2 linked regions of the Tribolium castaneum genome follow. The protein of the gene in region 1 interacts with the protein of each later gene in a biochemical or structural test. Links are inferred from orthologs where the notes say so. Each region holds a gene or a part of one and is shown in the gene's direction. Other genes may lie near its edges.

The links.
Region 2: the proteins of ebi (region 1) and sina form a complex in vitro, tested with the Drosophila melanogaster proteins (2 studies listed by BioGRID). The link is inferred for Tribolium castaneum from reciprocal best matches to the Drosophila melanogaster genes ebi and sina.

What each region holds. Positions count from the first base shown.
Region 1 is NC_087398.1:13,091,510-13,096,109, reverse strand, and holds the start of ebi (F-box-like/WD repeat-containing protein TBL1XR1), read left to right. Parts: upstream 1-1,663; 5' UTR 1,664-1,786; coding exon 1,787-1,844; intron 1,845-1,903; coding exon 1,904-2,191; intron 2,192-2,240; coding exon 2,241-2,521; intron 2,522-4,600.
Region 2 is NC_087403.1:8,292,026-8,294,709, reverse strand, and holds the end of sina (E3 ubiquitin-protein ligase Siah1), read left to right. Parts: intron 1-910; coding exon 911-1,167; intron 1,168-1,217; coding exon 1,218-1,398; 3' UTR 1,399-2,093; downstream 2,094-2,684. UniProt on the Drosophila melanogaster protein: E3 ubiquitin-protein ligase that is required for specification of R7 photoreceptor cell fate in the eye by mediating the ubiquitination and subsequent proteasomal degradation of Tramtrack (ttk).

The sequences.
Region 1 (4,600 bases):
CGTAAAGTTCTCGGGTGTCTAGCTATGCAACTCGCATACGTCCACGTATTATTAATAACTATTGTTTGATAACATTTAAAGCCTTCTTTTTAGTATCTGAATCTTAAATTTTGAAATAACAATAAAGTTTGAATAACACTTATGCAAAAATGCTTAAAGGTCGAAAACTGTCGTTATGCAACGAGCGTAGGCGAGTGTTTTTGCACTCGTATCATTAATAACTATTTTCGCAGTCTTCAACAATTCTAAGGGCAAAAGTAAGTTTGTATCTTGCTATTTTATGTATTTTTATTTGAATTTCGTTACACTGACAGCGAGCATACCATATAACTACAAATAAATATTTTGCCAATTTTTAGTTATTGGACGCCTATTTGGCTTAGGACAATTTTTGAACTTATATGCTCATTCTATTGTGCTTTTTTTTCTTTTTGCTAACATATTTATTAAATGGGGGTGTACAAATGACCAAGAAAATAGCATTGTCTTATAAAATGAAAAAACTCCGAAAATCATAGTACTTCAGAATGAAAGAATAAAATAAAGCCACTAATAATACAGAGACCAACAACAATATACAACAAAAAAAATCTACTTAATTGCCGATACACAATTACTTAGCCTATCCCAAAGCTTCTGAAAGAATAGAAAAGATACAAAAGGCAAGGGCACCATTTGCCATCTCATCAAAAATATATCGCGCGATAATAGAAAATAAGAAAGTCTAATAAGAAAAACACGAATTGAAAAAGAAACAGAAAGAGAAAATTTAAGAAAACCAAACAAGAGTAATCTATAATTATTTGCTTGTCTTGCCTAAAAGAAATACATGTGTGAATGAACAACCCTTATGTTCCCAGAAATCACAAGGAACATACTCGTATTACCGATGATAAAAAACAAAACTTGTGCATATGGTATCTCTGTTATAGGGATGACAATAGTGAATATTAACTGGATAAGTTAATATATAAAGATGAGGAAGAAACAGAAACAGAAAAATAAAACTAACGAAAAAGAAGAGAAAAAAGTGATAAAGAACCCAAATACAAAGTGAAAAAAATGATGAAAAACAAATTGTGTGTTCATGATCGAGATGATTTATATCACGTGAATAATTAATTAAGCATTACATTAGATTTTAAACTTTGTTGAAAATTTAATAGGAATTAATTTTAATTTCACTTCTATTTTGGTCATGCAAATACCTGTCCAATAACGGTGGTTCCGGCGTCCAGTAATTATAATTTTTGCACTCAATAAATAAAAACGGTGAGGAAAAATTTATACGCACTTTCGAAACTTTTCTACACATTTTAATCTTTAGTTTGGAATTACGTATTTTTTATATCTTTATTTTAAAGGCGGTAATGAATTTTACAGTTAAGATTTTTTCAATACCAGGGGACTTTACCCAATTATTAAAAAAATTAAATTTTTTTGGTTTTATTTTTGAACCATATAACTATTATGCAACCAACTTTACAGATGTAAACAACAATTTTTGTACCATTTTTATAAAAATTCAACAAAAACAGTAGTACATTAAAGACAATTTTGTGTCTAAAGTAGTCCGTAAAATAGCACTTTTTGGACGATTTCACAGAAATTGATTGCGCTTTAGTTTGAATTTGGGAATTTATGCTTCACTGTTGCCACCACTGCGAGGTCAGTGACGTGCGGCGTTGCCGTGTGTGTTTCAAAAGCACAAACTTTATGTTTTGGTGGCGTCATTTACCGAATTTTCCGTGAAAAACTGTAATATTGCCTGAACAATATTACCACGATGAGTTTTTCCAGCGACGAAGTGAATTTCCTTGTTTATCGGTACTTGCAAGAGTCGGGTGAGTAGGCTGTGGCCGACATAACCACATTTCTTGGCTTGATTGTTGTCATTTTGCAGGTTTTCAACATTCTGCTTATACTTTCGGTATTGAGTCGCATATTTCCCGATCAAACATCAATGGGGCTCTTGTACCGCCCGCCGCACTTCTCAGTATTTTACAGAAAGGTTTGCAATACACTGAAGCTGAAATCAGTATAGGAGAGGATGGACTGGAACAGAGATTAGTGGAGAGCTTAAGTTTAATCGATGCTGTGATGCCTGATGTGGTGGCGAGTCGCCAAAATCAGCAGAATGCACAAAAACAGCCGATCAAATCGGAAATTACTGATACAAATGGCGAAGAAGGTAGTTACTAATTATTGTTATACCACAACTTTTCTAACTTAAATTGTAGCTGTAGTGTCAACACAGAATGAAAACATGGAAGTAGACACATCTATCGAGATTCCAACTTCCAAAGCTACAGTTTTGAGGGGGCATGAGTCAGAGGTTTTCATTTGTGCGTGGAATCCCACTACTGATTTGTTAGCAAGTGGCTCTGGGGACAGCACAGCCAGAATTTGGGACATGTCTGATAACACAGCAAGCCCCAATCAATTAGTACTGAGGCACTGCATCCAGAAGGGGGGCACTGAAGTGCCAAGCAACAAGGATGTTACTTCACTAGACTGGAATGTATGTGCTTTGTTTTCCTTCTTATGGCCAAAATATGCAAGTTTTTTTATTGATCTTTCGTTCCTTAAAAAAACTCAAAAATTCCCGACTTTCGTAAAACTGCGTTTTTACTTTAAACACCACTTAAGGCCCGATTTCTCGCGAAATTTTCAAATGACTTTTGCGAAAACTTTTCCTAGACCATTTTAAACGCCAGTATCGTGTTTAGCGCGTGATTTTGCGTCATTTGAAACATTTTTGCGATCCAAAGTTCCTCAAACTTAATCCAAGGGCGCTTTATGCATTTTTCTAGGTCTTTAGAACCCTCTACATTTCTTAAAAGTGCAAAAAGTTAATAGATTCGATTTTAAGTTGTTTGATTTTTTTCTATTTTTGTCAAGATTTTTGGTCGATTTCTGGTACCCAGAACATTTATTATTTATTTATATTTATTTATTAGTTTATTACCATTGGAAATCTTTTGTGTTCTCTATCTTTTTGAAAAAATTGTTGTCATAGGCTAATAGTTTTTGAAAATACGGAAATATTGATAATAATTAATCGATTCCCCGAATCATTTTACATAGGTCATTAATTTACTTAATTTTTAAATATATTTTTTATATTTCTGCCTTAATTGAGAAAACAAAAATAAGTTTGCAAAGTGATTACGTTTCTGGATGAAAATGTGTTAATTTTATTCCAAAAATGTGTTTAAACATTCAAACATTGCTCCACACAGTATTATTTTGCATAATCTTTTACGAAATTTTCCGAAATAATGGCATTTCATCTCAAAAGTATAGTTAAATGTTTGGTTTACCGAAATTACGCGGAACTAAGTTTTTTTTACACACACCGTTTTATAATTTGTTGGCTTATTTTCGAGAAATTTCTTGATATAATTGCGTTTTTGATGCGATAAAACGCTCAAAAAGACAAACACTCAACTTATTGCTTTATTTTCAAAATATTTATTTTCCTAAAATAGGAAACAAGGTTTTGATTTTACATTAAAAACAGATCATTCGCTAAAATGCACAAAAAATCAATTTGGTTTAATCGTCAAAAACAAATCTTAAAAATGTTTCGTTAAACAAAACTTTTGGTTGCTTATTTTATTTAATGAACCCCTTTTGCCTTTACATTGGTAAATTAATTAATTTATAAATTGATTTACATTTCATGTGGTAAAAAAATATCTATGTTGTATTTATTGAAGTTGTTCTACAGAAAAAACACATAAACATCGTGTAGTTTCTTAGCGTTCATTCCCTAGTGCAAACTAATAAAATTTCACAGGAGTAAGTCACACTTCAAACGGGCAAAATTGTTTAAACAGCGACTTGCACTAGTGAATTACGCCAAATTACACTAGGAAGTGGACGAAAAGAAACTCCTGTACCTATTAAAATATTGTTATTACATTTTTTTAAATTGCATAATTAACTTTCTTATGTAATGATAAAATTTCTTTTCCACACAAAAACTTTTCGTGCTTTGTCTCACAATGATTGTTGGTAATTTTGAATTTACTTCTCATATTTACATTCCAACAAAATCAACGGCTTATGTTTTGAACTTGAAAACTGTTATAAATTTTACAATTTGCTCGACGCTAATCGATTCCTTGGATCAGTTTGCATACTTTTCCATCAAAATAGTTCAATTATTTCAAATAATATTGCCGTACTTAATTCAGGAAATAATATTAAAGTTCACAAAGTGAATGCATATCTGCTGGATGAAAAATGTGGTATTTTATCTCAAAAATCTGCTTAAACCAAGGCTTGACCTTCAAAAAGTGCTTCATTTTTAATACAATTCTGCGTTTTTTTGATATTTTTTAACAATATTTTACGAAATTTTCATGTAAAAAATGTGTTCAAACGACCAGTTCAGCGAAATTTTGTGAAAAACTAAGTTTTGAGTTTAAAAACGTGCCCTTACACTGTAGACAAGCAATAACCGCACCATTTGTTTTTTTTCGGCTTATTTTTAAGAAATATTTGCGTTTCCAAAAACGCCCGGAAAAGGCAACTATTTATTCAAAGCTAGTTTCATTTCATTAATGCACGGAAAATACTGTTATCAGTTGTT
Region 2 (2,684 bases), on another chromosome or scaffold:
GACAGAGCCAATGCCTACTTGAGTTAGTGGAGAAGATTGAGCAGCGGCATATCAGAACAAGGTTTCGCGGTAAAAAAAAATTTGCACTTGTACTTTTTATTATTTATTTTTTTATGATTCCAATAATAGCAGTATGAGATAATAAGAATTGGTATGTAGATAGAAATGCTTACATATAGAAAAAAAATCTATGTAGATATTGAAGTTATTGATATAAATATGGAATTTTAAATAAATGATACGTGTTAGTCATTGTCGAACAATCCTGATCGCATAGAATTTGATCAACAATAAAATGAATTATTTTTGAAATCTAATTAATAATTATAGTTTCGATTTCCTAGGAAATAATACACGGTATTGTCAAACTACAAGTTTTGATTTTTTAATGAATTTCAGTGTTTTACATTAAAAAACTGATATAGACGGTAAGGAGGTTCAATAATATTATGTATATATTACATTTTTTCGCAGTCGGCTCTAAAATTCTTTAAAATCTTCAGTGAGTTTTGGGTTTTTTAGCACGGGATCGTCTAAGACCAATTCATATAAGCGTTTTCGGTCAAAATAAGCTGATTTCAGTCTTTCACGATCAATTTTCGCGTTTTTTAGCAAGAAATTGCCGAAAACAAGCGTTTTCATATAAACTGGTGGATAAATCGGCGCTAAGGGCTTTAGGAGTTCCGGAGCGTTCATAGCATCATGTGCAAGGTTTTAGTCAAATTAACTTAAATAAAATATATTTATACTTATCAGTGGTAATAATAATCTCGGAACTGACGTAATTTTGGATTACTCGTCAACTAGACACATTCGTGACATTAACAAGGTGTGCACCTTTTTAAGAGTGACTTTTGCCTCGGTGTGGGTGCACGTGGCAGTGCGTAGTAAAAAAATGTTTGGGGCGCAGGGTCAGTTAGATAAAGTAATGGTACATCTGCAACATTCCCATAAAAACATAACAACGCTCAACGGCGAGGACATCGTTTTCCTGGCCACTGAGATCAACTTGGCCGGTGCTGTCGATTGGGTGATGATGCAGAGTTGTTTCGGTCATCATTTTATGCTAGTGTTGGAAAAACAAGAGAAGAATGATGGTCATACCCAATTCTTTGCAATCGTTCAGTTGATCGGCTCGCGCAAACAGGCCGAACATTTCGCCTATAGGTCAGTCCCAGCGTTTTGTTCTTTAGTATTCACAGTGTTTTTTTATTTAGACTGGAGCTTAACGGAAACAGGCGACGTCTGATCTGGGAAGCCATGCCGAGGTCCAGCCATGAGGGGGTCGCTTCGGCCATTATGGCCTCCGATTGTTTAGCGTTTGATAATTCTATAGCCCAACACTTTGCTGACAACGGAAATTTGGGTATTAATGTTACCATTTCTCTAGTATGTTGAGCCTTCAGTTCGATTATTTTTCGATGATTAATTAGCATGTAAAGTTAATATATACATATCCTATACATTATTGTTCATTTAAAACTTTTGTTCGTTTAGTTTGTGTGACAAGATTTTGTTTTGAGACTTTACTTTGAGTTTACTTTTTTGATCAACTGCTTCGAAATGGCATTGTTTTATGATATATACTTACATATTGCTGTGTTTAATGGATTTTTCGTTTCGTTGCGAATAAACTTAATCAAAAAACTACTGTAGTCCAATAATTTATTACCTCACAGTGATACACAAAAGGTAAGGTCGAATGTGTTACGTTGCAGGTCAGCCCAACTAATAAATTGTGATAAACATATTTCTTCTAATACCCACTTTGCTATAACCGTTTTGAAACTAGTGCAGGTTTTATGTACATTACTTTCCACATTTTGTTATCTAATATTTAGTGTAAAAAACCCACCTCTTGTAAGATTAATTTACGTGTGTTCAATTTGTGGAATTCGTTTGCTTATGGGTTTTAGCTTAAGTTGTCATAAGTCGTTATAGTTGTTATGTTAGATGATAAATTTGTCCTTGTACATTGTAATAATGGGCACTATTTATTTAATGACTATTCAACTACTTGTAGTTTATATGTTCGATTATTTCTGCTTCGCTTAATGTAAAATACGCAATAAATTTTGTTTAACTTTCTAAAACTGAAGTTTATTTCAAACCCTAGCCCTTCGATTCGGTAAAACACCGAAGAGGTGTGGCGCTCGGTGCACACTTTTAAAGCGCCATCTCTTACAATTACGTTGAGTTTACACGAGAATCAACGGTTGCCTACACTATAGGGGAAAATGTACCTAAAGGAGTAATGATTTTTATCGCAATAAAAATCTTATCGTGATGATGAGATAATAAGTAGTAACAATAACCGATCTTTGAGTCACATAAAACATGTGCAGCCATGCAAACCATGTGAAACAACCTTTGATAGGGCTGAGAAAAATATTCGTAACTAAAAATACTTTTTTTTTGAAAAATATAAAGTTAAAAAATTTCGGAAGGATACGCTAATGCGCCCGTTTTTGATAATGCTGTGCAAGTCGTTCGGAAAAAGAATAAAGTAAGCTAAAAAATAGCTCTCAGGGGAAAAGCAATTTCTAATGCAAGCAGTGTCAGCGTCGTCAGCCTTTTCCTTAGTCTTTAAAGCTTCATTATTCATTAGTCTGAAGTGGTAGTTTTAAACATGAAATCGATTTTTATGCACTCGTACAATAGTAGTCTACTGTGTGTAACTTTTT